3 linked regions of the Drosophila melanogaster genome follow. The protein of the gene in region 3 interacts with the protein of the main gene of each other region in a pairwise test. Each region holds a gene or a part of one and is shown on either strand. Other genes may lie near its edges. The genes, in order: Cox10, eEF1delta and alt.

What was found.
Region 1: the proteins of alt (region 3) and Cox10 interact in a two-hybrid assay, tested with the Drosophila melanogaster proteins (one large-scale study listed by BioGRID).
Region 2: the proteins of alt (region 3) and eEF1delta interact in a two-hybrid assay, tested with the Drosophila melanogaster proteins (one large-scale study listed by BioGRID).

The regions. Positions count from the first base shown.
Region 1 is NT_033779.5:10,325,318-10,335,783, reverse strand, and holds Cox10 (cytochrome c oxidase assembly factor 10), read right to left. Parts: upstream 4,314-10,466; 5' UTR 4,175-4,313; coding exon 4,103-4,174; intron 4,038-4,102; coding exon 3,854-4,037; intron 3,797-3,853; coding exon 3,110-3,796; intron 3,046-3,109; coding exon 2,813-3,045; 3' UTR 2,655-2,812; downstream 1-2,654. Other genes in the region: GATAd, read right to left, coding at 1-3, 972-1,709; Schip1 (schwannomin interacting protein 1), read left to right, coding at 5,205-5,792, 5,853-6,309, 6,374-6,462, 6,522-6,588, 6,649-6,980, 7,044-7,312, 7,374-7,437; RnrL (ribonucleoside diphosphate reductase large subunit), read left to right, coding at 7,906-7,957, 8,009-8,097, 8,330-8,507, 8,566-10,466.
Region 2 is NT_033779.5:10,226,209-10,237,129, reverse strand, and holds eEF1delta (eukaryotic translation elongation factor 1 delta), read right to left. Parts: upstream 4,624-10,921; 5' UTR 4,558-4,623; coding exon 4,471-4,557; intron 3,650-4,470; coding exon 3,569-3,649; intron 3,374-3,568; coding exon 2,771-3,373; 3' UTR 2,680-2,770; downstream 1-2,679. Other genes in the region: mthl15 (methuselah-like 15), read left to right, coding at 1-203, 583-755, 844-1,099, 1,325-1,403, 1,467-1,645, 1,716-2,102, 2,180-2,343; ova (ovaries absent), read left to right, coding at 7,180-7,425, 7,519-7,716, 7,784-7,945, 8,004-9,269. UniProt on the Drosophila melanogaster protein: EF-1-beta and EF-1-delta stimulate the exchange of GDP bound to EF-1-alpha to GTP.
Region 3 is NT_033777.3:17,675,373-17,686,664, forward strand, and holds the start of alt (aluminum tubes), read right to left. Parts: upstream 7,144-11,292; 5' UTR 7,085-7,143; exon of another isoform or gene 7,030-7,084; intron 6,872-7,029; exon of another isoform or gene 6,723-6,871; intron 4,505-6,722; exon of another isoform or gene 4,275-4,504; intron 3,916-4,274; exon of another isoform or gene 3,772-3,915; intron 3,332-3,771; exon of another isoform or gene 3,280-3,331; intron 2,807-3,279; 5' UTR 2,749-2,806; coding exon 1,465-2,748; intron 1,378-1,464; coding exon 715-1,377; intron 366-714; coding exon 270-365; intron 162-269; coding exon 1-161. Other genes in the region: CG7655 (uncharacterized protein), read left to right, coding at 7,417-7,743, 7,803-8,237; CG31251 (uncharacterized protein), read right to left, coding at 8,437-8,723, 8,783-9,315, 9,373-9,473; CG31360 (uncharacterized protein), read left to right, coding at 9,801-9,978, 10,041-10,159; CG31249 (uncharacterized protein), read right to left, coding at 10,634-10,989, 11,139-11,292.

The sequences.
Region 1 (10,466 bases), on a different chromosome or scaffold from region 3:
TGCCTGAAAGAAATATGAATGTATCTTATACTGCAGTATCCACTTTTAATATTCAGTTGGCTAGCAATGAGAATGATGCAATGACTAAGGAGCAAGGCGGTAACAAAATCGATCGATGGGATTGATGACTGGTTATACTTGGAACTAAAAGAAGAACATTGGATGCTTTGATATTGTATAAATCAAGCTAAAACTATTTGTATTTTAATCAATTTTATCATTATACATGTATTAAAACTTTAGTATACAATTTATATCTCTGTAAATCTCATGAAACAAATTATTTTAATTGAAAAAAATTAAAAACAACCCTATAAAATGATAAAAAAAAAAAAAAATAACATATGTTCATCTACGGAAATAAACACTAAAGCTCATGAAATGCATTAAGAGCACAAATTATCAAATCAATAAATAAATAAATACATAATAACAAATGAAAGTACTCGAAGTATGTAAAAAAAACACATTGGGGCCATATAAGGTGTATGTACGTCGGTATATCCGCACTTAAACAATCGAAACGAATGTTATCTCTTTGGTGGATTAATGTATGTAGGTCTCTAACATACATCCATGCGTGCATATACACACACGTATGTACATAGCAATATTTACATTCGTGCGCTGGACACTGATGTACGAGTGTGGCGTGGTGTGCGTGGGCCTGGGCCAATGCCTTGCAATGGTTCATCGAAAAAATACCAAACAATTGATACCGATTGTTAATAGGCCATGGGATAAAAGCGGCCCAATCATTTCCTATTATTTTGACGTGTGGTGTCGTAATCACATAGATAACACACACCAGCGCACGGCAAGCACTCGCAAAAGTGCGCGTGTGTGCGGGCATTATCGTGTACATATACGCGATATATCCAACTCACACACAGGTAAGAGCATGCTTGTGTATGTGCGTAATTAATGTAAATTCGTTTCTTTGCAAATGTGTTGGATGGAAATCTGCTTACCTTAATAGAGAGACAGTTGAATATCTGAAATGTAAGATGTGGTGATGATGAATCATCCCGACCGTGCTCTTTGCCGTAGTTATCGGTTCCGCTTATATTTGTTGTATTCACACTTGTCTCTTCGCGTCCGCTCTGCTGATTATGATTATGCTGATGTTCCTCCTCCTCGCGCATTGGCTCCGATTTTGTTTGGGATTGGGATAGCGATGCGGAGGGGGATGGCGTCTCCCCGCTATATTCTATATGTTCGTGATCCGACGATGACTGACTTTTGAATACTGTTGATCTCTCGGCGATGTCCGACTCCAATTGGCATTGGCGTTCGCGCTCACTCGACTTTGCGTCCGCAGCAGAAGGCACACTTGGCGTGTAATGGATTTTAGTTTGGTTTTGGTGATGGTGAAGGGTTTGCGATTGGATCTGCTGGCTTGGAACGGGCACAGGCACGGAAACGGGTATGGGTATGGGCACGGGTACGGGTGTTCCCTGGTTGCGCCGTTCATTTTTGTTGGCTGATAGCGGGTTATCAACGATGCAACTGCACGGATTGGGGCTTAAAGCGCTGCAAAAGCAGTTGGCACGATTCGCGACGCCACGAAAATCGGCCGATATTCTGTCTGGGGCACTATTATTATGCGACGAATTATCGTAAATCTGTAGTACTGCAACATCGCACTCGTTAACCAATGTGAGGCACAATCGACAAACTTGACGAAACTTATGTGGTACATTATTCATAATTAGAAATTTATATTCGTTTTGCACTGTGTAAAGAAACTTTCATACGCCTCTCCTTTATCGCGATAAAAAAGATAACTGGTAAAATAAATTATAAAATGAATGTAAACACTATTCCTCAATTTTTCATTGTCACAATCCACGTTCAGCTCACTAAAAATAATTCACTCCAGTGGTTCGCCACAGATTTTTCGCTCATTTGATCTAGTTTCCCGTTCAAATTACCAAACGAGGGCTCCAGCGATAGTCGCGTTAGCTGCATGATTCATCTCGGCATCGCGATAAATCAGTGATTATGCTAATGTGCTTCTGTGATAAAACATCAAGGCTATTGCAACACAATACAAAATATTGTTCTTTTCATTTGTAAGACCAACGCATACAGCAGAGGAACCAGTGAAATATACTGAAATAGGGGCAACTTTTTGGTATTTCTGTTATCGATAACGTACAGCTATACTCATTTTTAGCTAGAAATTTTTGACTATTTATCTGACGGATTTTACTATTATTATTAAAATTATTTCAATTGCGGAATATAGTTCCTAAAATAGCTAGAATACTTATCCCTAGGAAATGCGCATGTCGTTTTTTAATCTTGGAAAAAAAACCCTCCAAAGGAATAAACTCTGGAATCTGAAGAAGAGATGCCTTACAATGCCTTAAATAATACGTTCGATTCGATTGCTACAATTTATCAAAATAAAATAGATTTAAATTCCTTATTTTCAACAACCGATGAAACAACGGGAAACGGGATTACTTCCACTAACAATTTTTACCGTTTCCGTGCTTTTTTTGAAACAAGTGCTCAAAGAACAATATAATAAGGTCATACTTAGAATCTTGCAATTTAAATTACTGTACGGCTTAAGATTCCATGCCAAATTGTATATTTTAAATTTATTTGTATTCAGCGCCGGATTGGTTACACCGCATATTTTTCAAGGATGTCGTGTCATTTATTAGGCGCAACATATATTTGCCGCACAGGGGTACGTGTTTCCTTAATATTAAATGACTGTTTTTACAAGTTGCAGAACACTAAGTATATTTAAATTTCACACGATACTTAACATTTTATCAAATTAATGTTAATATTTCTATCTGGGTCCTTCGGCTACGGCGACGGGCAGGACATTACCAAGACTGCTAGCAGAATGCTTTATCGCACTGTACGTGGACTCCTTTTTGTTCTCCTCACCGGCGGGTTTGCTGAAATACCATTCCTTCTTATTGGTCAGAAATAGCAGCATCAGGGCGGGCAGGTGTATCAGTGAAAATCGGAACAGCTTCCGCGAGCTCCCACTATCTGACTTTTCATGAAACTTGTACGCTGCAAGCAAACAGAACGTATTAGACATAACATATAGGATTCCATGGTTAATGAGTATATTTACCAAGGTAGGCGAAGTACGCGTTCAGAGGTAGTGTTTCCAAGGCAAACCAGTAGTTCGTGACGTCCAGTACGGGTGCCATGGCTGAAAGTCCGACAATAGCCACCGAATATCGCAGCGCAGTGCGGCGACAAAGACCCGGATTGGTAACGGCCATCATTCGGTAGCCGGCACGTGAATAATCCGGCCGGAGGTTCCACGACAGAGCGTTGAAGTGCGGGAACTGCCACGCGTACAGCACTCCGGCTAGGATCATGGCGCCGGCGTCCAGGGTGGCTGCACAACCAGCCCATCCCATCAGCGGAGGAATGGCGCCCACTATCGATCCCACCCAGGTATTGACTATGCTGATACGCTTCATCGGTGTGTATATCGTGGTGTAGAGGAACAGGTTACCCGCTCCCAGCGCCGCCGTCAATCCATTTACTCCGAAATACAGCATACTTAAGCCGGCAGTTGCCGACACCGCGGCGAAGGTAACTGCATGCAGTGGTGTCATTTGCCCCGTGACGAGCACCCGGTTCTTTGTCCTCGACATCTGCGAATCGAAAGGAACTTCGTGATACTGATTAATGGCATTCGCCGCAGCCGAAACGAGTCCTGTGCCCAGGGTGCACATCGCAAACGTTGTGGGATCGAAAGCAGCTGGCGCCATGGCATAGCCGCCCATCGTTGTAATGACCACCAGCGCTGCAACGAAAGACAACTATGGTCGATGCTTGGCCAATGTTTAACCATCTCGCTTACATGTCAGCCGGAACTTGGATAGCTTCTTGTACTGGCTAAGAGTTTTTCCGGGCATGGTGTACGGACTAGGCATCCAGGTAATTTGACTATCGGGTAAATGCTGGACCTTTCCCGCCTGGGATACTGGCGACGCTGTAGTGACACCTTTGTCATCTTGGGAAGCTATCGTTGCTGCAGTGGAGTACTGAAAATTATTGGAAAGTTATAGTTTGTTATAGTGGTTTGTTGCGTAATGGCCAAGAACCTCACCCGAATGAGCACCAAATCAACCGGCGTTCTTAGCTGGGATTGCACCCGCCGAATTCCTTTGAATAATATCATTATTATTCACTTATTAGTTAGGTCTACGGTTATTTCATTTTTCTAGTTGTGTTTGGATTTCTATTACTTTTATATACAATGTTATGGTTTTTTAAATCACATTGTGCTTAAGTGTTACCATATCTCAAAATGAGAAAAATACTGAGTGCAAAAAATTTAATCAGAGGTATTCATAAATTGTTGGGATTGGGATTTTTTAAGAACTTTGAAAAAAACATAGCAAAAAGTTTTAAGCCTATTCCTTAAATAATAATAATATAAGTTTACATTAAAAGAAAATTTTGTGCCATGGTAAAACTCAGAGACATTTTCAGTTTCGATTTTTAAGTTGTTTTCTCAGTTTTTGCATATAAAAAAATAATAAATAATTAATAAATTTTTTGTTCCTTAGTAAATTAAATTATTTGTAATAATATTTAGTATTGTTAACAACACTATATACCAAGATTTGCGCATGCGTCAAACGTGTAATTTGCTTTATATGTGTGGGAGTAATTTTTACATCTGAATGCAGGAAGGCCGAAGTCCTTGTAAGTCTTCATTGATTCAATAATTAACATTTTAAACAAACGGAATACATTTTAGTTGTTAACAGTCGAAACAATCGTTTAAATAAAGCAAATACAAGAAATTATAATTGCAAGTAACTTTGACTATCTTCAGATATTTCTGTTACAAAAATTTGCACCTACACCAACTTTTTTCGGCTTGATTCTTGTTTCTCGATTTTAAGAATATACAAAATGTCAGTTCATTCATGTGTTGTTAAGGACAATGTAACATCTAAACACATATGAAGTTAAATACCAAATTGACTCTTAAAGTAATTTATAAATACGATAATGAGTTGAACTAAAGAAAATAGTGGAGTGGAGATAGTGGTGTCCTTTAGCAAGTAAAAGGAAATAAGAAAAAAACCATTTTATTGCTTTTACTATGTTTTAATTATGTTATGTTATTAATACACTGTAGTTGTAATCAATATTTAAGTCATCTAAACTTTTTTATTTCTTCTAGACAACTTATTCCAATGCCCATGCCAAGAATGGATATCTATATAACAAAGGGCATCACCAACCCCAACTACCCAGGATTTCAAAAGTTCGCGCATACCCTTTCCGATGACTACATAGAGTACTCCGACATGGAGTGCAATGAAAGCGATCTAACCGACAGCGATAGAGAAGATGACCCAACGTTCCCAAGTAAGATGGCCAAGGAATCGGGCTCGGAAACCTTTAAGAATGGCCAAGATTCGATTTTAAGTAACTGCGACAATGGAAACACATATATATCAGAAGAGGAAAGCGTGAACCGATCGGAAAACATTCCGGATATTGTAAATGAAAACTATAGTGCAACGTCGGAAAACTCCAAGCGAGCTTTGCAAAAACCTGACCTTATCTACAATCTAAGCCAGAATTATACGACCAATCCTGAGTTTCCATCCTGGTCATGTACAATTAATTCGAAATACGAAGGGCAGTTGCAAGGCCAAAGTCCTATCGATATTGTTGGTGATTTTGGCGGAGAAGTGGAACGTGAATTCGAGCTACTTCTCACTGGATATAAAAACAAGAAGGAAGCGGATGAGTTGAAGGGATCAAATTTAGATAAGGTATGTAGTTAGTTAAAATAAAAGAGATCAGGCACGTAAAAGCATAATTGTACCTTGCAGATTTGCGATGCAGAACTATCAAATGGAACGGAGGCTCTTAAGCAAACATCCTCGACGCGATTGTCCGGGAATAGTACTCGAAAAAATAAAAAGAAGAACACACCGTACGGACATCAGATCGTGAAAACGAAGCATCCAAAGCCGTCTCATGACGAACGTCAATTGCCACCGGACACGTTCGACTACAAAACGTATAGCCAACGAAAATATATCATTTGTGATGCTGACCAATACTCGTCCGTTCCGGAAAAGAACAAAAACGATAGTCCGAACCTAAATCAGGCTGAAATACCCAACATGAGCAGCTTGGAAATCGGTGGAAGTGGAAGCCAGCAGAATCTGGACGAGGACAATAACAAGGTGGCTAGTCGGAAGTACTCAAATCAATCGCGCTGGTCTCAGTACTTGGAAGATCCCATCAAGTACTCCAAAGATCCATGCTCCACCATGGTTTTAGGTAATTTCAAATATGAATTAATCGTTATAGATTCTTGAGTATATTAATATTTAAATTTTTATAGAACAATTTGATGCGTACAAGATTGCAAACGATATGGATGTAGAAACATTGCAAAACCATTATAAAAAGGTTAAACAGATAGAGAAAAAGGTAGGTACAATATAATCGGAATAATAATATCATTTATTAAATATATATTCCAATTACAGCGGCGATTCAATCGAGATGAGATACGCAAGAGATTGGCAATCGGAGATAAAGATTCTTTAAATAATGGTAAGACCAAAGATATTCTTTCATTACTATATTTTCTTAAATATTATATTTTATATTTAGACATTAAGAAGGAGGAATTTCTAACCGGATCCGATAATGAAAGTTATAGCTCCGACTCTGAGACGTGTCCAAAACTATCAAGTGGAGTACTTCGCAAGCAATCTGAATTCTGTGAAACGAAACGCAATAAGGAATTTGAAAACGATAAAATCTTTCAAAAGAACCAAATCAACCAAGATAAAAGCATGAATCATATGAATGGCAATCCCATTGGTACAACAGATTATCCGTCGGATGAAAACTTGTTTTTCTTTGCGAATCAATCAAAACTTCAAATAGAGGTTAGAATAGCACTAGCTCAATCGAAGGAAATAGCTCAGATGAAAGTAAAGGTGTGTTTTCCACAGGATTTATTTATTTTTTATTCAAATGTAATTGTAATTATCTATTTGTAGGCAAGGAAACATGGCGTAACTCCCATTGTGGACGTAATTCGATCAATGCTGTGTGATGTTGGCATCAAAATGAACTCCAACCATCGATGGATTTCGAGGCAGCTGCTCACTGGAATCCAAGTTCCGACTCTCCAGCTATTGGTCAACAATCTCCAGGAATATATTGAAAACCTAAACGTCACACTACTGGAGAGCCTTAAGGAGCGAGACGATTTGAATTCGGACCAAGATGATATATTACACGATCTCGAAAAAATAAATAACTTTTTGTATGTATACAAATATTATCTTATTTTAACTGTGTGTATTAATGTTAATATTTCTTTCTAGTGTTTTCCAACAGCAATCTGGACAGCAAGTCAATAAAATAGTTAGACACGGCCATTTAGATTAAACACTTGAAATTGCATATTTTATTAACAACTTGTTTACAAATATTATAATCTCTTGTATAATTGATAACAATCTACCGAGACCGTTTATAAAACACATACTCAAATGTTCTTCAAACACTGTTATATTTATGTAATTATATAAAGCTAAATAAATAAAAAATACAACTAATTATTTATATTAACACTAAACTAAATTTGTTTTTATAAAACACCTGTGTATTGATACAAGCAGTTATTTATATATTTATTTGATTATCTAAAATGATATATTTTTTAAGAATATGATATAAATGTGAGTGGAACGGTTCGAAATAATTTTGTTTCTTGATCGTTTCAAAGTTAGGCGTTTTGAAAGTGCGGCATTTGATCAACATGTCGCACGGTAACACTAATAATGACTTTAATTTGGCGCCTTTTTGTGCTTGCAACAATCAATTTGCCGCCTCTTGTGAAATATAGCAGTCAAGATGTTGAAGAACAAGTCCATGAAAACCTCAAAGTTATATGTTATTAAGAGAGGTGGGTTACAATTCCTTGTCGCTATGACTGTTCTTAATATATTTATTTCAGATGGCAGGCAGGAGGAGGTGCACTTCGATAAAATAACCTCAAGAATCCAGAAGCTTTGCTACAACTTGAACATGGATTTTGTTGATCCTGTAAGTTTGTTTCTATTGTTTAAAGGTGCTCATCACACAGGTTGCACTCGAACCTAGTAAGTATGATGCGTATTTATATGTGATGGGGTTTGATTTTATCTGCAACAGAATGTGCGAGCGCCCCTGGTGAAACTCATGTGGGAGTCCCAAGATATACAAACCATTTGTAATAAGTTATCAGCAGATTATTTGGGAAGTTTTCCTGATGTGTTATTATGCTTTATCTTTATAGGTTACTATCACCCTGCAAGTCATCAATGGTCTGTACTGCGGCGTGACCACCCAGGAGCTGGACAACTTGGCAGCAGAAATCGCAGCTGGATTAACATGCAATCATCCCGACTACGCCATCCTGGCTGCTCGCATTGCAGTGTCCAATTTGCACAAGGAAACCAAGAAGGCTTTTTCTGGTAAGTTCATAGCTTGTATTCTGAGTTCTTCGGTTAATCCAATCATGATTCTTATTAGACGTCTTCGAGGATCTGTATAATCATGTAAACAAGGAGACGAATCAAAAAGTGCCCTTGGTATCCGAGTTTCACTACAATGTGGTTAAGAAGAACGCCACACGGCTGAACTCGTCCATAATCTATGATCGTGACTTTGGCTATAACTATTTTGGCTTCAAGACCCTGGAGCGTTCCTATCTGCTCAAAAGAAACGGAAAGATCGCAGAGCGACCGCAGCATATGCTGATGCGCGTGGCGATCGGAATCCATGGAGAGGATATCGATGCGGCCGTGGAAACTTATAATCTTCTATCGGAGCGCTACTTCACGCATGCATCGCCCACACTGTTTGCCGCTGCCACAAACCGGCCGCAGTTGTCGTCGTGTTTCCTTCTGACCATGACAGCCGACTCCATCGAGGGCATTTTCAAGTCTGTGGAGCAGTGCGCCATGATCTCCAAGTCCGCCGGTGGCATTGGACTTAACGTACACTGCATTCGTGCAAAGGGCACATCGATTTGCGGCACAAATGGAACTTCGAATGGGTTGGTTCCAATGCTGAGGGTTTTCAATAATGTGGCACGTTATGTGGATCAGGGAGGCGGCAAGCGTCCCGGTGCCTTTGCCATTTACCTGGAACCCTGGCACTCGGATGTCTTTGAGTTCCTGGAACTGAAGAAGAACACAGGCAAAGAAGAGAATCGCGCACGCGATCTGTTTTACGCCCTGTGGATACCCGATCTCTTCATGAAACGCGTGGAGGCCAACGGTGATTGGTCGCTCATGTGCCCCCACAAGTGTCCTGGTCTCCACGACGTGTGGGGCGATGAATTCGAAAAGCTGTACGAGAAATACGAGCAAGAGGGTCGGGCCAACCGAACGGTTAAGGCTCAATCCCTGTGGTTTGCCATCATTGAGGCGCAAGTGGAGACCGGAAATCCGTACATGCTGTTCAAGGACGCTTGCAACAGGAAGAGCAACCAGCAGAATGTGGGCACAATCAAGTGCAGCAACTTGTGTACGGAAATCGTAGAATACTCCGCACCGGATGAGATAGCAGTCTGCAACTTGGCCTCCATTGCCCTCAACATGTTTGTAACGCCGGAGAAGACGTATGATTTCAAGAAGCTCAAGGAAGTCACCAAGATAGTTACCAAAAATCTAAACAAGATAATTGATATCAACTATTATCCTCTGCCAGAGGCAAGGAAATCCAATTTGAGGCACCGTCCCGTGGGCATTGGTATTCAGGGATTCGCTGATGCTTTGATTCTCATGCGTTTCCCGTACGAAAGCGAAGAAGCCGGTCTCTTGAATCAGCAGATATTCGAAACGATTTACTATGGCGCCTTGGAAGCCAGCTGCGAACTGGCCCAGACCGAAGGTCCATACGAAACCTACGAGGGCAGCCCGGTAAGCAAGGGAATTTTGCAATACGACATGTGGGACAAGGTGCCAACGAACCTGTGGGACTGGCAGAAATTGAAGGAGTCCATTAGGATGCACGGTGTCCGGAACTCTCTGCTTGTTGCTCCCATGCCCACGGCATCTACAGCTCAGATAATGGGCAATAATGAATCCTTCGAGCCCTACACCACAAACATATACACCCGGCGAGTTCTGTCCGGCGAATTCCAGGTGGTCAACCATCATTTGTTGCGCGACCTAACCGAGCTGGACTTGTGGGACGACGACATGAAGAACCAGATCATATCCAGCAGAGGATCGATCCAAAACATTGAGACCATACCCCCGAAGGTGCGCGATCTGTACAAGACGGTGTGGGAAATCTCGGTCAAGTCCACGATTAAAATGGCCGCCGATCGTGGTGCGTTCATAGATCAGAGTCAGTCGTTCAACATACATGTGGCCGAGCCAAACTATGGAAAGCTGACCTCCATACATTTTTATTCCTGGAAA
Region 2 (10,921 bases), on a different chromosome or scaffold from region 3:
ATTACCGGAACAGAAGTTTCTGGTGCGTGCTTGTCAGGAAATGAAAATTTGCCAAAAAATACCCTGTATTCGTCGTTGTTGTGCCGAAGGTGAAATGTATGCAAAAGGAAATTTCAGTACCTATTGCAAGATCGATGGAACCGATTTCAAATTTGAGGGTTTTCAGAACCTAAATATCAACGCAAACTTCTCAAAGCCCTCAGGTATGTCGTCACCAGTTTTGCAGTTATTTTTATAGGTCTTTATAGCAGGAAACGAGCGGCAATTGAACGCAGTAATCGCCCATTAAAGTCGTAAACTTAATGATCAAAAATATTATTAAGAATTGGAAGCAATCGATTTTGATGTTTTCCATTTGTCTGATCAAATAAGTGGTATAAACAATTGGTTTCAAGTGCCAAGCAAATTTCGCTATTGAAGTTATCTACGTCATTCATTAGTATTGACATTTTTCATTAGCTTTGTCATTTTAATTATTTTTGTCAAATTTTCTTATCTGGTTAATCAACAAGTGAATGACACATTTGCCTTTTCATTGACATAGGTCAGATTGTATAGTGTATTGTATTCAATACTTTTCAGATTTCGGTATTGTTCACGGCTTGCAGTGCCCAAAGTTTCGCTTGGATCCTGATAATTTTCCAGACGATTCGCATACGATAAATCCGTCCAATGGCTCGCTTATCATTCATAACACATTCAAAACCTATACGAATACTCAGTACTGCGTGGAACGGGTCAGACCCAATCAAAAGGTAAACTCCTTCCTATTTAAATCGACATATTTTATACAGTAGTGTCTTGTATAATCCTAATTATTTGCCTTCGTTCCTTTCAGAGCAGCTGTATACATTTTTGTGCTTTGATAATAAGGTGGTGACCGGCGACAGGATTCGCTTCAAGATGTATCCCATTGGCCTGCTCATATCCTGCTGCTTCTATGCACTCACACTGATTGTCTACATTTCAATTGCCAAATTGAGAAACCTGCCCGGCAAAATCCTAATTTGCCTCGTTAGCAGCTTGTTTGCGGCATATCTTGGAATCGCGCTGGGCCAATTGCGACCCACATCGAATGACGACATCTGTTTTCTTTCTGGTGGGTATTGCAGCCATTAGGTAATTAGTTGCTAATCCTGCTGGGACGAGGAGACCTACAAGTTATTATACCATAAAAGCGGGAAATCGATAGCAATCACTTTTATTATTACATTCATAGTTATACTCGTCAAGTACTTAATTGTTTAAGGGTATTTTGTCTCATTCTCTTGTGCAATTTGGTAACTAAAACCTAAACAAACTGTTTCTGTTTTGTATCTTGAAGGTTTTTTCGTGTACTTCTGTTTAATGGCTGCCTTTTCTTGGATGAACATTACTTCCTTTGACATATGGAAAACATTTGGGTAAGTACAAATGCTTTTGAAATTTAGATAAACTTGCAATAATTTACACTTATTTAATTGTAGATCAACAAAGCTTAAAAGCTGCGAAAAGAGCGACCTGAGAAGGCAGTTTATTTGGTATTCGTGTTATGGCTGGGGGCTACCAACATTGCTAACTGGAATAACCATAGCTTTTACGAAATCTGACATTTTACCGGATGCGGTGCGTCCAAATTTTGGACATGGTCGTTGCTGGTTTACGTGTAAGTTAAAAATCTAATTAAATTACGATTTAAATATTAAAGTATTTGTATATTTTTGTATTAATTCCAGATGATTCTTTTGGTTCAGCCAGCTTATTGTTCTTTTCGGGTCCAGTTGGCATACTTTTCATTATAAACTTAGTTCTATTCGTGCTCACAATGAAGTATTGCAACAAAGTAAAAAATGAAATATACAAAATGCAGAGCTTGAACAGCGACAAGCCAGTTTTGAAAAGGCGATTCTTTCAGGACAAAACCAGATTCGTTATGAACACGAAACTGTGTTTCGTAATGGGCATCACATGGCTGTTGGAAATAGTTAGCATTTTGTTTTATGATCACAAGAAAACGTTCTTTTGGACCATCAGCGATTCGTTTAATGTGCTACTTGGAATCTTTGTCTTCATTATATTTGTGTTTAAGCGCAGAATTTATAACGAAATTATGTTTAAGTTTGGTAAGTTTCAGTGGCATCAATTAACTGGCAGTTAGTTGAATATACTACATGTAATTTGTATTTATTTAATCTTTAAGGTCTGCAATCAAATCCGAGCACTGCATCGACTAGAACCCGCGCTGGCGTGACCAAATCCTATGCTCCAACCAGCACCGCGATGACCACTCTTCGACATTCTCCTGGCAGCTGTGAGTTTAAGCGCCAAACGTCGACGAGACCCGAAAACGAAGTTATGCTTTAGGATGGTTAAATAACTTATGATTAACTATTTATAATTTGTAGAGCCTTATGAAACTAGTCCCTCAGTTTAATCATTATTAATATGTGCATAATTTAGCTGTGACCTGGAATATTTATTTAATAGGTAATTTGCATTGTTTTTATACTCGTGCGTAAATGAATTTAATTAATCAAAGAATGGCGAATACATGACTTAAACTAATATATATCTTCTTTTCTTATAAATTTTGAAATAATATGGCCTTTTAGCGAATTCAAAACATATCGTTTGCATAAAAAATATCCTAAAGTAAACTATTTACCAATTACTCCCAGTTTAAATGCAGTTTTTTAAGTTGGTTTTTATCAAAATATTTATTTAGACGACTCCCAAACACATTTGTAATGCGGCAAATCCGATCGTGAATTGAAAAATTATATGTTACCCCTTAGATTTTGTTGAACGCAGCGATGTCAACACTTTGGACAAAGTCTTCCAGTTTCTCGATCTCCTCAGTCAGCCAATCGATGGAAACCTTATCATCCTCAACCACGCATGAAATGCTCAGTTTCTGAATGCCAAAGGCAACTGGCACGAATTTGGAAGCTCCCCACAGTAGACCGTCCTGGGTGATTTTGCGGATTTCCGTCTCCATAACCTTCAGATCGGTCTCATCGTCCCACGGCTTAACATCCAGAATGATGTTCGACTTGGCAATAATTTGAACTTTCTTGGCCTTCTTGGCAGCATAGGCTGCCAGCCTTTCCTCCCTTATGCGGGCGGCCTCTCCATCCTCCTCCTCGCTGTCCGATCCAAATAGATCCACATCGTCATCGTCGTCGTTCGCTTCTGGTTTTTTCGCTTCGACCTCGGGCTCTTTCGACACTCCATTCGTCAATTTCAGCTGAGTTTCCAAGCGCTTCACTGTGGCAGTCAAAAGTTCGTTCAACAAGGAAACCTGGGTCTTCAACTCCTTGTGTTCACCCTCCAATTGGGCCAGACGCTTGGCCAGCTCGGAATTTAAGCCATCGTCCAGAGTAACGCCATCGATCTGGAACACACACAAAAGGCTTGATTAATAATTCAAATTCAAGTCCTCATTGGGATATGTTGATCATAAGTACAGACTAAATATATTGTAAATAATAATTATACAATTCTCTACAAAGTTTTAAAGAAACCGAAAGAAACCTAGGAATGTGAACAAATCAAATGTTGAAATACAAAGATTTATCACAATAGTTACCTTTTCCAGCGAGTTCTGTATGTGTTCCCTAGCCTTTGCGATTTCGCTTACTAATGGGCTGTAGTGGCTGCGATCAGTTACCTTTAAAAATAAGACAACACCATTGATTACTTGTGTGAACTGACATTTGGTGTATCGAATGGTTGACAAAGGATTCTAGGGATAATAATTTTTAAGCAAAATGAGATGTTTTATGTACGGGCATCTACTTCAAGTCTGTTGTCATGCAAGCATGCTGAAATACTGATAAGCCTCACTCTAATCAGCCCAAAAATTGTACGTAGTTTAAATATTATACAATGCAGTGCTATGCATTTTGTGTAGTATATTTGTGTAGATAGAATACAACGTGTTTAAACCTTTACTTAACTATAGTATTTCCCTGAATTTCAATAGGTTTTAACTTTGTATACATCGATTTGTTTTTGGCACATTTCCATTGAATAAACGAATTTTGTTGTGTAGGTGTCATGTTAAGTACTTATGTTTTGCATACTATATTTTGTATTTATACCAATTGCCAAACGGAAAGTGTATTCAAAATTTGGCTTGCCAGAGTTAGTTTTCTCTCACACTCTGTTTTGTATACACTTTACGCACATAGTTATATTTTTTAAAAGTGTTAAACGTTCACCTGTTACATACAGCTACAAGAATATACCAATGTAATGTGCAATATGAACACAGCAATTGAAAATCAAAGGCAGATAAATATAGAAATCTTTTAATAGATCATTCTACGTATGTATTGAAGTTTAGAACATGTGTGTTTCGGCGTCCTTGCTGTTAAAACAAACAGATTTGCAATAAACATTGCCGAAACCATTTGAACTGATTTACCGGCCACGTGAAACTGGCTAACAACTTAAGTACTTATGGCTGTGATTGCTTAGAGATTTTACCTTCTGGGGACCCTCGTAGAATCGCTTCTCGGCAAGATCGTAGCGGCTCTTGTCAGCCCAGAATTTGTCCAATGCCTCTACTTTCATTTTTAGTCTTTCGCCCGCAGATTTACTCAAACACGTTGCACAATTGGCTGAACAATACGATAACACGTTTGAAAGGGAATGCAGGTATATCGATATCTACGCCATCGGATTCGTTTTTTATTGCTACTGAAACGATGGAAATGAAACACGACATTTTTATTTCAACCAAATTTTTAACACGTTCTCATTCTCATACGAACTGCTTTTTGATGTGCGAGTAAATAAACAAATTTATTGCAATTTTTACAAAACGTCCATAAATTGAAACACTTATTAGTGCCCGGAAAGAAATAAAAAAAAAGTTTGATCTCAACGTAGCAAAATGTAAGTTCCACGTGGCACCTCATCGATGTTTGACGAACTTTTGCACAGGCCTGCGGATCAACATGTGTGTATACTTGTCATCAGTTGATTTATTGCTTGTGATGGGTTGCAACGAAATGTTCACCACAATTGTCGTCGTTGCGTGAAGAGGTTTGATGAAAGAGGGATACAGAGGGATACTTTTTTTATATATTATCTTCCACTTAACTATTTAATGCTTCTTCTTCTCTTTAACAAAATTTTTATATCACGGACCTCGTCCTTGTGTGCTACTAAAAAGCTAGAAAAAGATACCATAATAAAAAAAATGTTTTAAAGTTTTTTAAAGGTATACAACTCTCCTTTACTTTGTATAAGAGATTAACAGATGTTTGCGTCAGCTGTGTTTGATGGAATCGAATTAATTCGATGTCGATTTTACACAAAAATTCCAGTACATGTATTTTATTTACAGTAAAAAACTTTTTTAAGAGCAAAGTAAAAGTGCAACATCACATTTTGTTCCATTTCCGCGTTTCAATTTGAAGACTGGGTAGTATTTGTCACAATTATTTCAGCCATTTAGCAGTCAGTTCTCACTTCGACTATTCGATAGCAACTACAACAAATGGTTTTTTTACGAAGAAAGTGTTGTGTACTGTAACTATGTTATCATATTTGTGATTGTAGATCTCGGTGTCTACCGTTTTGTTAATCATTGCGAATTCTTGGTGCGTACTGATGGTGATTCTATTTTGATCGGTTTTTGAGACTCCTTTCTAATGGATTCACTCAGTGATATGTATATGCAGAGAGCACTGAGCATTCCAGAGCACTGAGTTTAATGTATTGCCATACAAAATCGGTGTCGAAATGTTCGTTATCAACCAGTTTAACGTATAAGTGTGTACTATTCAAATTATATTTCAAATGATGCTGAACATAGTAATTTTCGTTGAGTGTATTACATACACTCGTCTAAATCAGGTGGGATATTTATACCACAGCATAATTGTGATGACTCCATTTAACATATGAATATTTGTGTTTATGTATAATTATCTAGAAGTGCTTGTGTGAGTGTGTTTACGTATAAAAATGTCCCAAGTTATGCAGTAAAAATTTTATTTGCAAACTTATTCCACTTCCCTTGGAATACATATGTGTGTTTTTCGTGTGTGTGTGCGTGTGTGTGCATGTACACATATGAGAGCAATTCGTGGTTTTTCAGTAAGGAAATCTGCAGTTAGACGCAAGGTTTATGAGCTGCCCCTTTTGCAAAAGTGAAACGCTGGTCGTGGCTCGCCACAAGAATATATAACTCGTATAAACTGCATAGTTAGCATTCGCGAAGCGATATCGCACAAACCTGTAAGTGGGAACATTCCACTTCATGTCAATTTCATGAAATCGCTAGGCGTAACCACTAGCTTTGGTTCTAAACCAAAGTGGCAACGCCTTTGGCAAAACAAGTATTTTATAAAAAAAAAAGTTTAATCATATTGCTGTACTTTATTGGTACAATGTGTATACGATATATAGTACCTAATAAAGGTACATTTCAAGGATTGTAATTTTGCAAAAAAAAATCATCGATACCTTTATCGATTGTCCCCACGGACTTGACAGTCTGTATCTTCGCCATTTTGTGGTTATCACTCGCCATTTTTTAATGTGACCGTTCATAAAATGGTCCTGCAAAAAAGTAATGTTTGCGGTCACTAAACTAGAGATTTCTAGAACAAAAAGGACGTAAACAGTTATGTATTCTAGACCTTGATCCCTAGGTGTCACAATGTACGTGGCAATTCAATTCCAGGGTAGCTTTAATAGTACCTGAGGGCTTTACGATTATACGAACAAATACGGACTTACAGTCAGTTATGGCTGTATCGACATGGCTAGTAATCCGGATCAAGGCTGTAAAGACTTGTTAGTTTCATATTTTTACGAGTAACTGGCCTTCATCAGGACGGACAGGCAGATGATCATTATATACTTTTCAAGGACTATAGAACAACTATTACACGGTACCTAATTGAGTTTACTCATCACCCTCAGTATTCTCTATTGATCTCGACGTTCATGAGGACGGACAGACATACGGACACAGCTAGATCCATATACTGCGCCCCTTACTTATCACAACTGCTAATAAATATTTGAAATCGTTTGTTTGGTTTGGTTTTAGGAAAGTTTAGTAGTTTTAAATTTTTAAGTAGATATGTTATACATATGTAATCGTTTTAATCGGTTATCTTGGAAAACTATCGATAACATGGCAATAAAATATAACATTTTAATTCACTTGCAGTGACAATGGATGAAAAAGATAAAGCTCAACACAACATGATATCCAACCTACCACTTTTGTTTGCGAACGGATATCCAACATCCCTAGAAAAAATTACGGAGTCCCAGTTAGAAAATTTTATTCCCTTCATGGTGCAATGCTCTTTAGGACACATAAACTTACCAAAGAAAATAGATTGCAGTGAACCAGAATGGTGGCCCGAAAGCGCTCCTTTCGAGATTCCGCTCAAAAAGCCGAAAGCATTTGTTGGGGTAAGCTTTTTTCCCTTACCTTTTGATTTCTATGGCTTATATTTAACATTCACCCCCATAAATGGCTAATATATACCTGTATCTATTTTACAGAATTGGATGGAAAAAATGAAAGAAATTGTGGTTATATGCTATCAATTTCACAAAAGCTTATTTCTATTAAGATTTTGTAATGATTTAGCTGCGTATGAACACGCGAGCTTAAGATTCATAAACAATTATAACTCAACAACTTCATTGTATGACAGGAGAAACAACAAACTGTTGGTTACATTTCGAAATGAAAACATGGTAAGCCAAGCCTACTTTGAATAATTGGGTTTTAAAATTAGTTAATTCTGAATTGGTTATTTTGCAGTCATATGATAGACAACAAAAGAACAGAAAGTGCTTGTTGCTGCAAAAGAACAACAGTTCCATTAGCGAAAACGTACAGCATATGATGGTTGAGCCACCACCTTTTGATATCTACCTATGTGACAACTGTGATGCCGAACTTTATTCTAAAGAAGCTATACTCGTAAGTTGATTGCCAAAGATTGTCAAAGTTAATAGTTAATAACTCTATTGCATAACAGGAACACGAAAACATTTGTTGCATGGAGGATGACGTTATACTTTGTGATTCCCCTGAGCCAGATAACAAAAGTGATGGGAAAAACGAAGATATCGAACAGCGCAACGCCTTTCTCTTAAACTTTAAACTGCAACCCAAATTCTCCGATAATAGTTTATCTAAAGAGAAACAGAAAACATATTCATTCAGCGAAGAAACATCAACGGAAACATCAAACAGAAAGAGGCGTTTACCATCGCGGAGAAATCGAACAGTTCATTCGTTTAGTAGGTGTTCGTTTATCCCAATATCATCACCTGCAGGACAGCAATTGTTAAAATCGACAAAACAAACAATATCAATGGATTATATTGCGGAAAGACAGGAACGCCTGGAACGCTTTTGTTACACTCCATTGATCAATAAATCAAATACCAAGCAAAAGTATTTTGAAAAAAAAACAAACACTACAGTGCATTGTACATTTAAAAAGTCACATGAACACAATTATCACATATATTCCTTTCCGCGGCGTCAATTTGTTAAACGCAGGGACACTACTGAGAACTTTTTGTTTTTGAACTCTCCGCTGATTAAACAATGCCGTCCAATATCAGTCAGATTGAAAAAAATATCCGAACACGTAATGGAAGAGCAAAATCACACTGCAAATACAAAACTCAATATAAGACTAACGCGCCACAATTCGCTCAACTCACACTGGAGAATTTCACCCACAAAGGAAGTTGTTGTTGATACAATTGACTTATGCTCCTCGGACGACGATGAGCAACAAGAGCCAGCAATAGGCTCGCCCAAAAGACTTGGCTCGGATGCACTGACTGTAATAAAACTTACACATAACAACAGAAATTTGTACAGTAGCCGCGTCGTCGAGCCAAGTAAATGTGCTCCAGAGCCAGAATCAGTAATAGTTGATAATTCGGTTAAGCCCCTACAGCAATCTTTATATATTTATTCAAACTATAAGGCTAATTCAGTAATTAGTCGCTGTACCGTAGACTCGATAGCCAATCATTCACTGGTTGGTTCCCTGAGTACATCGAATACTTTTGCTGATTCTGAGGGACACAGAAAGGAATACAATCAGGAAAACTGCAATTTTTCTAAGAACTTGGTCGCACTCACAGACTGGTACGCTCATTCGGCTAATTCGAAAAAAAGCACTACAAATCAGACTACTGAGAGTAGTACGTTTGATGCGATTTCCGCGGCTCCGCCTTTCAATGGCACTGGGCGTATAATTTCCATTGATTTAACTTCTTAGACATTTTAATCCATAGTTAAGTTAAGAAATTGTTATTTTACAAGAAAACCTAAACTAAGAATTACCATATATGAATAAATAATTTGTTTAAATACTTTTATATATAATGTCTAAATTCATTTTCTCTGCGTTTTAAAGAAAAGACATACTGTAGAGGAACCCTACTGTTTTGGGATCTCTATTACCACGTATAGATGGTAATCAGCATATTTTCCATCCGTTTTCTTCATAGTTCGAAGCGTTAATCGATGATCTGGTTGTTTGAAAGCATCGACATAAAGTACACGTAAATAGTACATGACCTTCAAAAGCTTATTTTTTTTGGTTATGAGTCACATCATAATTTTATTACGTCATTAAAGAAAGAGAGGGGACGTCAGGGTTAATACAAAGTAGCATTAATCCCATGATTGATACTTGAACCAGTCTTTTCGGTATGTACCTCAACCCAACGTGGGCTTGGCCCTTTGTAGAGTTAACCATCACCCCGCCTATTTTAGGCGATTCAGCTGTACGCGTCAGCTGCTTTTGGTTTGGCATATCTAGTTTTATATCGCATTTTCCATTCATTCCGATGGGATGAAGAATTTGATATAATTTAGACCATCCCAGATGTTTCTTTCCCACACTGTTCCACTCGATGCATTCTCACTGAAAACGTCTTTCAAAGAATACCACAGTAGTCCAATTTATGTAAGCCAAAACATATGAAAGACAACATTTTAAATGTTTATTTTATCATCATATGAAATTTCTCGGTCGCAAACGAAAATATAAATGTTTTCCACCGGAATAGAAAAATATCGGTGATCACAGCGATTATCCATATATAAAATGAATAAAATGGATGGATAAATGTCTTATAAATTTGGTATTCTTTTAACTTAAATACATAGGTAAATATAAAAATTTATTTTATTGCTTATCTTATTCAACCTCAATATAAATAGAAAAAAGCCAAGACATCATCACTGACTGCGATATTATACAGCCAAATAACTGAATTGACCGATTAAAATGTGGAAGTGTACACGGTGCACCCTGTATAATCGCGGATTGCTTGCTTTCATATCTATGAATTAGTTTGGTATGTAAAGTCGTATACAAGAAATGGTGTTTGAAACCAAAGCGATTTTACTGTTCCTCATGGTGTTGTCAAAGAAATTTTCGCTTTTAAATAATTAATTGATGAGTGTGTAAGTGAATATTGTGTTTATTGTTTACAAAAACCCCGTTTAGTCGAGTGATTAAGTGAAACAAATACCAGCATATATATGTACACAAAATTTCGCTCAAATGTGCCACTGACAGCAAATCAGTATTTCTGTACATAAACGTCAAGTTTGCCAGTTTGAAGTTTTAGTTCGCCGTAATGAACAGTGCAAATTACAAACATTAAATATTGATTAATCTATCGGCGTAAGACCGCAGTTTGATACACACATATATGTACGTACATTGCAAGCGTTCGCTGCGAGTGTGTGTATGTATGTATGGTCATTTGGGTGTTTTACTTATGTACATATGTACGTACGTGCGTATATAATCAATTTGTATGTAATGACAGCTGTGCAGAATGCAATGATTCAAAAATAATTTCAAATTGGATCGCTTTCGAAAATCCAAAAGTCATTTATTTTGCTGATTGCCTG
Region 3 (11,292 bases):
GCTTGCAGGGCATTTCCCGACTGCGCTTTCACAGCGTCGGGATAAAGGCGCTGGTAGAGATCCCGGATCCTCTGCTGCTCGCTCTTGGCTGAACTGGCACTACCCCCGCCATTGGCGGCCACTGCCTTCTGTTGCTGCAGCTGCAGCTCTTTGTGTTGTTGCTGCAAAGATTAATGCATACAATTAGTTTACAATGATTTAGACTCTACGAATTTTCAGATGGAATCATATAGGCAAGCAGAAGAAGCTGACAAAGATCATGCACTTACGCCTACGGACTGCGCTGAATTTGTTTTCGTCTTAGCTGTTAATGCTTCGGCATTTTGCAACGCTTCAATCAACTTCCAATTTTTCATACGCACGTCCTGACGAAACACGAATACGTGGCAATTAGTAAAGGATTCAGGAAAAGCAAGAAGGATGCAGATGCAACGGGCAGGACGAACGACGGCATAACGACTCAAATGCGACGCGATTACATATAGTTGGGCTCAAATTGGTTTGAAATCCTTTTCAATTCAATTATCCGCATTCATTATTAATCTTCATGCATAAGTCTTGACATATATATGTATCAATTTCAGTGATTACAAAGTAAAGTGCAATAAAGTTTAAAGTAGGTGGTATAAAATAGGGAATGTAATGGGAATGCAACACAAAAAGAAAAGTTTTTTAATATATATTTCTAGTTATAGAGTTCATCTCTATACTCACATTATTTTTCTCCCGCTGCTCCTGGAGCTCCTGTTGCAGATGTTGCTCCTTAGCCTGCAGCTGCTCGGCCCGCTGTTGAGCCTCCTGGAGCTGCGACTGCAGAGCGTTGGCTTGCTTCTGCTGCTGGGCGTGGGCATCCGTCAGCGAGCCGACCTGCGAGCGAAGAGCACTCAGCTCCTGCTGCTTCTGGGCCAGCGCTTCGGTCTGAACCTGGGCCTGCTCCGACTGGGCGGCGGTGGCCTGAACCGCGCTGTTGGCGGCTTGGGTGAGCTGTTGGCTGAGCGCAACGTTGCGAGCCTCTAGGACGGACAAGTTCTGTCGCAGCTCCTGCAACTCGGCGGCGTGGACGCGCTGCAGCTCCGACTGAGTCTGTTGAACAGCGCTCAGCTCCTGCTTGAGGTCGGCGTTCTCCGCCTCCAGCTGCTTGCGCTGCTCTAGCTCAAAGATGCTATTGTTCTGGCGCGCTTCCAGCTCTTCGCGTTGCAGCTCCAGGGCTTGCAGCTGCTGAGCCTGCTGCTGAATCACCTCGTTCTTCTGCTGGGTCTCTGCATTAACGAATGCGGTCATTTCCGCCAGGCACTTTTCCTTGTGTGCGAGATCCTGTTGCAAATGTTGCAACTGAACCAGATCCTGCGAATTGGCTTGCTTCTCCCTCCGAAGGGTCTAAAACAAAGAATTAATGATTTGTAACGAATTTGAATATAGGCTATGTTTGAAAATATTCTTATAAATCTCAGAAGCTTTTCTTACCGTAAGCTGTTGACGCTCAAGCGTCAACTTGTCATTCAGACTGGACAGCTCCTGGTTGAGGGCGGCTAGCTCCTGCTCCTTGCCTTGCAACTTATCGATATAAGCCTGGTTTCGGGCATGCATCTGGGCGCGTTCTGTGTTAACCTCTTGGCGTAGTTCGCGAAGCTTAGCCTGAATTCCGATGGAGGCCTCCTGCTCCTCGGCCAACAGCTTTTCCTTCTCTTCCAGCTGACGCTTGAGTTTCTGGCAGATGTCATCCGACCACTCAGAGTGCGAAGCGGGCATATCCTGTTGCTTGTTTAGCAGATAGTCGATGAGTATCTGAATCTCTGAGCGATTTAGCTCGGCACGAGAAAATACGTTCATCAGAGCGTTGACACCAATGGTCTGGTTCTGGTGATCGGCCAGTTTATCCAAAGCATGAGCCAAATCCTTACCCGTTAGGGTTTCCTTTTGATTCTGTTTCTTGTTTTGCTGCTGCTGCTTGGTTTTGTTGTTGGCCTGGTTGTGTTGCGTTTTGGGTGAGCCATTCTGCTGCTGCTGCTGTTGCTTGAGGATCTGCTTGGTCACTACGGGTGCCTCTGTTTCGACAGCTACGACCTTCTCCTTCTTGGACACATTGCCTCCGGCGATCTTTTTCTGACTTTGCTGCTTGTTGTTGTTGTCTTCTTTGCGTTCCTTTTGCTCTTGCTTCTTCAGCTCCACCACATCCTTGGGGATCTTGGTTTCAAAATTATTCAAAGTTGGTGTCTCCTCGGCGTTAGCTGCAGGCTTAACAGCAACAGTTTCGTTCTTGTTGACCAGGATTCCGGCTGTCTTGTTGTTGGCTCCGTTACGTTTATCCTTCTTTCCCTTTTTGCCAGCCCCAGAAGGTTGGTTCTCCTTCTCAGCCACGCTACTGGGTCGTCGCTGATCAGTGAGGACCTCTGCATCGGGTTCAAATTCAACATGCTGCTTGGAGAGACCGGGTTCCTCGCCAGCCACGGAGCCCTGACCCTCCGACTGACCATCGGAGTAGTCTTCGGCTTCCTCTGGTTCCGGCTCGTTGTTCACATCCCTCTGCTGTTCCCGCTGACGTTGCTTCTTTTCGCGCTTAAGTTCCTTCTTCTTGGGCTTCTTGGTAGCGGCACCACCGGCCGCCTTGTAGAGATTGGCGCTCAGGGCACGCTTCTCGGCTACCACCTCCTCAAAAGTCTTGCGCCGGAAGATCTTGTTGATGAACAGGAACGAGAGCAGCGAGGCGCTGACCACACAACCGATGACGATCAGTATGTGGAAGTCCATATTTGCATATCTTTCCGGTTTAGCCGTGGATTTTTCTCAGGGATCTCCTTTGCGAATGCTGTTGAATAAATAGAGAGTTTCTCGTTACTATTTTGTATTTTAGCAATATTAGAAGGTAAATATTTCTAGGTATTTACATTTGCAGGTGTAAATACATATGAAAAAATTAAACAATAATGTTCGATTTCATCTAAAAGGGGAAGCCCGGAATTACGGCCACGTTTTCTCCGTTTGGTTTCCAAGGAAAGCAACCAACAAAGCAAAAAATAATCTCAAGTGTGGAAATGTTAGAAATGCTTTTTAGGGTCACTCGTGTATATATTTTTGCTATCAAACTCATTTCGTAGCATTATCAGCTTTTTTCAGCTTGAGAACCACTACAATGTAGTATAAACTGATGACGTGGGGGTCAAAAATCGAAAAACGCCGAAGAAATGCCCACTAAAAACGACAGATCAACGACACTACATTCAATGGCAATTACGCTTTATATAGCCGGATTGTTTGAGTTGAACGTGCTTATCGGTTTACCGGCCGGAAAATGGTTCAGAGCGCAACAACACAAGTTCTCCTTTTGTATGAACACGTTGTTATTGCTGCAGTTGACTGGGCTTGCTGGACGTTATATTAATAAAAACGCTGTGCGGTTGATAATTTCATTGTTGTTGTTGCTCTGCTGAGATAAAAAAAATGCACTGCTGAATGGCTCAATATTCCTGGTATTCCGGATTATACAGCTCAACTCGCCAATAAATCCCCATGAATTTCAAATTTAGGCAAAAAGGTCATTTGAATTTCATTTGGCGCAGGAAGGGCGATAAGAAATCTCAGCTGGAATTATCGATTCCTCAAAGAACTCAGCGATTAAGACGGAAAAATGTATTCCGGGCAGAAGTGGGGAGCCGACAAAGTCACAAAGAATAAAATTAGCTTATGAAACAGCAGCTGCTGGGCAGCCTTGAACGAAAGTTGGTAGACATTTCCAGCACCCAAAGGTGTTGACGCAGATTGAAAGGAACTCACATAACAATCCGAAAAAAGAATAACAATTTAAAATAACTCAAAGTCTAGATTCTGACGCACACGTATGCAAATTTGCCAATTCGCAAAAAAAATCAACACTGTTTAATCTATTTTCGTTAAACTCCACGAGTCTCTTCCAATGGACACGATGCGAATGCCAAAGGCTAGTGAAAAGATTCGCAGCAGAGCTGGGCTCGCAATTCGAGATCTCTCCTCAGCTCTCTACACTTGAAGCAATTCCCAAGATCGACTAAATATTTATTTTTGAATAGGTTATTTTCTGGATGTTTTCTGTAAGTGCAAGTTACGTTTTATGAGAGCAAGATTTTATTGAAGAATCAGCAAACAAATTTGCAATAAGTCTTGAGTTTAAAATATGCGATAACATTACTTGTATCATCAAAATAAAATACGTTTATATATTTACTCCGCCCAGTTATCTTTGAAACTTTAAAATAATATATATTTGTAGTTTGTACATTTTTGAAATAAAAAATACTAACATTACTAACAGAACGTTTTATTCTCAGTGTGCTTGCGCTCCGTGGCACTTTTCTCTCTTCGCTCCCACCACAGTTAGAACAAAACTTGAAATTTCGCTGACTCCGCGAGCTCAGTGGAAGAATTCACAAATTGCAAAAATTTCAATTCAAGGTTGTTGCTCTCTGCGGCTGCGATAACTGGCAGGTCGGGTATTTATTTTCCTCTGTTGGCTTGTCAAGTTCTGGCTTCTTATTTCTGCTGCTTTGCTGGCTCGCGTCATGTTTCTGGCTAAAAGATACTGACTGTGTTTCTGTTTCTTCTTATCCACAATCAACAAACATTTCTAAGGGGCTTTCAAAAATACTGGGTTACGTGATACTGGGTAGATGAATAATCCGTATACAGCAAATCTTTCCAGGTTTACTCTATCTACATATAACTAACTCTTGATTTCATTTATTAACAAATGTAACCATTTTTAGTGTTTCCAACTGTTGTATTGCGACCATTGTGACAATTTAGATGGTTCATAGCATCTTCACTACAATTTATGAAAGTTTTTACAACTCCAATTGTCTATTATCTAGTCCTATGAAACCGACATTCATTATTACGGATGGGTGGACTGACCACAAAGTTAAATTAATATTTAATGGCACAATGGAAACGGGTTTCCGTCAAACAAATCGATGGCGTTTAACGGAAAGTAAGTAAAGTCCGGGCTGCGGATTCCGATTCCGTGAGTATAGAGGCGGGGGAGGAAGAAGCAGCAGAAGCGGTGGCGGCAGAAGAGAGCCAAAGCCAAAAGAGAATAAAAAGCACAATAAAAACGCCGGTAAAGGTCATCAACCGGAAGAAAAGCGCCCATGTGTGCGTGAGTGTGACTGGCCAGTGTTTTTGTGTGAGTTTTTGTATAAACGAGTGTGTGAAAGTCGAAATCTTGCTGCCAATTATCATTATGACCATCTATAAATAATTATGTATTATGGTCGAACAGCATGCAAAACACGCTGGCTGCTCGGCCTCGTTACAGCCAACTGACAAACTGGCAAACTGACATCGAACTGCACAGTTGGCCTAATTTTCCCGTTTTTCTTTCTATCTTTCTGTGCCGTTGCTTCCCTCCCTCCCCCTTTCTTTTGCGGCGCCCCAGTGTTCAATTAGCTGCCTGCTCACACACACACTCGCACTTGCTGGCACATGGAATTTCTCCCCTGTTGGTGAGCCCCGGCCAGAAATGCCAAGTTGACCATTTTCTGGCCTTTGAAGGCAGCGTGTTTGAAGTGGGTCAAGTATTCGCCAATGCGATTACATCTCTTCAAATGGAAATAAAAAAGTTATTGATCCTCGTAACTGTGTATAATTATTAAAGTCCTTATGCGAATTATAAATGTCTAGATTTGTTTCTAAAAAAAAATTGTTTTTCATAATCAACTTACATATCCTAATAACTTCTTAAAACTGAAAACTTCCAATCTATCTAAAATTTAACCGGGTTCTCCATTTTATATTATTTTTGTTCTTTCATAAAAAAATAATTTGAAATTATACTTTTACTAGCTTGCTTTCGCAGCAGCATCACTGATAACGGTGCAAGTGCTTTCCTCGCTCTCTCTGTCACCGCTGAGCGAGAGCGTACTCGCACTCATTCATTATTTTTCATCTATTTATTCATAAATGCATTTTTTGCCCCTGCTATTTTCAGCGGCTCAAGAGTTTTAATTTTAGAAAGCACTGCTCCCTACTTTTCGTCTTTTTCTCCCGTAATATTTATGCAACATGCAATGCTGCTTTATTTATCTCTGTGGGAAAGAAAGCGTGGCATGTTTTTTGCGGTGTGTGGTGTCTTCTTGTTATTCCTGCGTGGGAGCGTCAGGTTCCAAGTTCGTTTCCCTAATTTTTTCTTTTGGTCCACAGATGGAAGGTTGGTCTAAAATGTGGAGTGACTCATAAAGGCTATAAATAGGCAAATTGATATTGTCTAAAGCTGGCGGTTAATGATTATTGATTGCTGACGTAGACGTCGATAGCATTTGTTGATTGTCAATTGGTTTTCCCCGATGACGAACGATTTTTGAGTCTATGATTTATTGGACTGCAGCTGCTCTGCTCCGCTCTCTCTTTTGAGCTCTGCTCCGCTCTCGCTCCTTTGATAAGCCCGCATATGCTTATGTGTGTGTGTGTGGTGAGGTCAGCGCATCAATTATGCTCATTTCTTGTCTTTTTCTTTGATAAAATCAGCGAACAACAAATGGGAAAGGGCGGGGGCAGGGCCCCGGCCAGACGGCGGCGCCCGAGATTTTTGGCAAATCAAAGCAGTCAGCTGTCCCCTTTGCTCATAATTAAGCAATGGGGAGCAGTGAAAGTGTGTCGACTACTAATTGGCACCTTGAATAATTGCACACCGATAAATAAAGTAGTGGCTTCCTTTTTCCTCTCAAGACAAAAGGGCGTCGCACTGCACTTACACACATACATGTACACCGCTCTCCCCTTCTTATCTCCAGTCTCTATACTTCTAACGCTGATTTTCAGCCGATTTTAAGCCACTTGCAACGTCAACAATTTTCACAACATTTCACATTTACAATGCAGTCTTTCTTTTCCTTCTTCTTTTCTTTTTGTTGGAAACGCATCCGCCATTTGCAAGCCACTTGTGTATGTGTGCCGGAGCGCTGCGCCTGTTTGAGTGTGTGTGTGTGTTGGGTTGTCGCGTCGACAGTTTTTTCATCACTTTGCTTGGATTTAGATACGCTTTATCAAACCAGTTCTTACTTGCAACTGTTAAACTTTTTCTCAACTTTCTTATGCCTTTCGGCTGCGGACTTACACTTTTTCGTTAGTGGGAAAATTGAAACATTTGCAAACAGAGTGACCGTGGCGACATACTCCAAAAATCGCGCCAGTCACATAATAGTCCTAAATTTGGACAACTAGCGATGACTCAAGCCGCCGGATAAATGCGCTATGTTTTTGTAGCCGAGACACGCTACGTGGGGAGAGCGATGTTTTTATCGTGGACACAAACCAAATTGAAATTCTTCACCGAAGATTTTATCGCGACTGTGCCATGGTCGCACTGATTAGCTCACCGAAACGTTCATTGAATTTGTTTTGATTATCTCGAAATAACAAGCTATTTTCTCAATTTTCCTGACAAAAATGACATCGATTGCCAAGTCCATAGTACTATTGGCATCCCTGGCCACGTTCGCTTACTCCCTGTACGTGGTTGGCAGCCTGATGATGTTCCTTTCGACGCCTCGTTCGATTTCCAAGGCGCACACCTGGATTTTCAATTTACTGGACAACAAGTCGCGCCTGCAGACCGCCTATGGACCCGTGGTGTTCGATACCCTCTACCTGATCGGATTCATCTTCCAGCACAGCTTCCTCAAGTCAGCCGTGGTCAAGAAGCTGTTGGCCAAGTTGGGATTGTCGGGTGCGGAGCGCACTATTTATAGCCTGACGTCATCGCTTTGTTTACATGTTTGTATACCCACAAATTGGACAGAAATAGCTCCCAACTGCAACTTTGGACATTTCAGTATTTGATCGTCAACTGGCTGCCCGCTCAGTCGATTGTTCTGTGGCAAATCGATGTGGAGCAGAGTGCTCCGCTTTGGTGGACCTTCGTGATCACCCATGGCATCTGCTGGGTTGTCATCTTTGGCGGCAGTTTGGTGATGGATCTGCCAGAGCTGCTGGGCGTCAAGCAAGCCTACTACGATCTGAAGGCCTACGGACCGCCCATCAGCTACAAATCCGGGGAATTGCGCAATCTGTACGCCCATGTCAGACATCCCTCGTTTGTGGGCCTGTCGGTCATCCTGTTCGCCACGAATGTGATGAGCGTGGATCGGCTAGTCATGGCCTTGCTGCTGACCACCTACATGTACCTGGCCTGGTCCACAGATCAGAAGGATGTGGCCTATCAGAAGATTCAACTGCAGCGCAAGAAACTCGAACTGAAGGCCAAGTAAACTTAATCTCAAAAGTGTTCTTACTAAGATCTAGTTGTAAGTTGACATGAGTTTGTATTGAATAATACTTTTCTAACAATTTCAGTTTCCGAATCAGAACGAAACAAATAATGAAAAAACTAAAAGATATATAAAAATATATATGGTTCAGTTTTTACTATTTTACTACTATTGCTAGCTTAATTAATTATTTTAAAATTTAACTCATTCTTACGATAGAAGGATCAAAGGGCTGTCCTTTAAACGGCGAACCTTCGGCATCCCAGGCAGCTTTCAGGCGATCCAGGTTTATAGCTTGGTCGGGACTTGAGGTCTGAATTTCATTTTGTTGCTTGTCTGCTGCCAACTGCTGGACCCTAAGCTTTTCTATGGTGGCCTGGGTTTCCTCCGGCAAATCATCTATATAGCGTTCGCATTCAATCTTCTTGGAATCGATTTCTGGATCACCTTCGAAGAGCCGATCCCACCAGAGCTCCTTTGCTTTATCTACAGTTATATACAGTTTATGAAAATGGTTTATAAAGATGTTTTAGGTGAATGCCCACCGTAACTTATGATCAATCGGTTCTGATCAATTGTCCACACCGCCTCCTTGTGTTTAATCCGCTGGCTCAGGTTTCCCTCGAGGATGATCGTCTCTGGGCTATGCTTGCTGCTCACTTTGATGTGCTGGGCCTGAATTGAAATGTGCAGCTTCTTCGCCGTTTGATGATCCTTGGGAAGCAGAGCCTGCACCTCCACATCCTTGAGGGTTTGTGACCAGCAGTGCGTTTCGAACACATCTCCGTTTTTGTAGTCGCTGGGGGAGAACTTTGACTGCTCCTTCCCTTTTTGTGGCGGCTGGCTCTCTATGGGTTTCATTTCCTCGTCCTGAGGACCATCTTCGCTTTCCAGGACCACTTCTTCGACGGCAGGCGGAGCCGTTTCTCCATCATCTGCACCGCCTTCCGCGGTCAGGGATTGTAGCAAGCAATCCGGATCGTAGCGCTGCATGGCGCCATATAGAATCTGATCCCTCACGCCTTTGGGGAAGCCTATTTTATCCGCTTCATCGCGTTTTGTGTGATAAAAGTCGGTGCTAAAAAGGGAAGTGGGACTACAGTTTTGTTAAGGATCTTGAGATAAAATCTTTTACTTGCGTCGCAGAAATCCGAAAATGGAGTCCAGGAAACCTGTAATAGTTTTCCGATCCTGCAGAATTTCCATGAGCATAGCATCGTTTCGCTGAAAGTCCATTTTTGTAAGAATAGTAACCGGCCGCTTTTAACTTAACATCTAATGTTCACGTCTATCGATAACAATGCATTTAAATCGGCGATAGCTATTAAAAAGATAGATACATATTAAAGATTTTAGAGTGTGGTCAACATATATAATATTAATAGGAATCTAGTTCTATTAGAAAATAAGGTCAATAAAGCATTTGTTGATCGAATTAACAAAAAACCTAGTTTAGTTAACACAATCAAGTTGGCAGCCCTGCGACAAACTTGGTATATCGATAGTTGTCGCCTTATTTTCCAAATCCATTCCCAAATTGTTATTATTGAAATAATTTTAAAAATGATCGGTAGACTTTCTTTTTGGAACAAGGACAACGTTTCCAACGAGGTGGACTGCTTGGCCTGCCGTCTGGTCAGTGGCCTTGGACTCCTGGGAATTGGTGCCTTCCTATTGGCACAGTCGAAAAAAAGACAAGCGAAACCTCTGGAGAATTTCACTATGAAAGGCTTGGCTGCAGGTGAGCCACTTGGGATCTTAAATCCGGTCTTATGTTTACTCCTTTCTCCTTCGTCGCCATAGCCGTTGGAGTTCTGGGCGTGGCCCGCCTGGCAGACGCGAATTTCCTGAAGGCAACCGCCGAGAAGCCAAAAGAACAGGAAAATACTAGCACTGATCATCAGTTCTTTTCTAGACGTTAATTCAATGACGTTTTAATTATAATCGTAGAGTCACTTAATATATAAAGGTTAATGTTTTCTTTTGTACGACCATGTGGCATTACAATAATATAGCTGTAACCTTGTTTTTAGAATTTTTTCTATTTAAAATCGTTGAAAACAAAACCTTGTTTGCTTTAATGAATTTATGATTTATTTTAAATAAATTAATTACATAGGCATACACAATATTGCATCTTTTGAAAGAGGATCATAAATAAACATATGTTTGTATTAATAATAATATTATAAAATATCAACAGGATTCTTATTTTATAGCTTTCAAAAAAGGTGTTTGCTTGTTCATAGCTTGGCTGTTGATCTATCTATTGATTTCTGCTAAATGTTGTTGCTTGGCTTTAAAGGATATTTTATAGATGCAATTTTAAAACTTTTATGTTCTTTATGTCCTTTTATGTTATATTGTGTCGATTGCGTTCCTTTACTGTTAATCGTCTAGAATCCCACTTTCCCCAGCTTGGTATCAGTCTTTGGATTGGCCGTGATGTTCTGCACCGCCACAATGGTCTCATTGATGTGTGTCTGCAGCTCGCGTAGGCTCTGGATCTGGAGAAGACGTAGTATGCGCATGGGCAGGTCCAGGGCAGAGTCGTTGGACGAGACGACGTCGTTTCCCTTGTCAAAAGGGAAGGGTTTACCCACTACCGGCTTGCGATCCTTGGCGGCGGGCGAGAGGCGTTCGTGCACCACGCGAGCGATAGCCTCCAGCTGCAACAGATGGTTCGGGTGGTGCGGCACATTCAGTTTGCTGGCCAGCAGCCGGACTCCATCCACGAACGCTTTTTCCTGAGCTGGTGGGAAGAAAGAATTAATACTTGTTGTACTTTACCTGATTATCATCTATAGATAATAAAAGTGGTTTTTGGAACCTCTTAAAAAATCCATAATATATAAATTTAAAGTTCCTTAAATGGTAAATTTAGTTAAAATCAGACCATACTATTAATATTTCCATCGAAAATAGCCTGGACCCTTTGTTGGGACTGCTTGCCATTGCTTTGGGGTGGCACCTGTTTGGTGTTAATCGAGGCAAACTGATCAGGATCATCGAGGAAGTCCAGGCGCACAGCATAGCTGACAATCCAGGCCAGCTG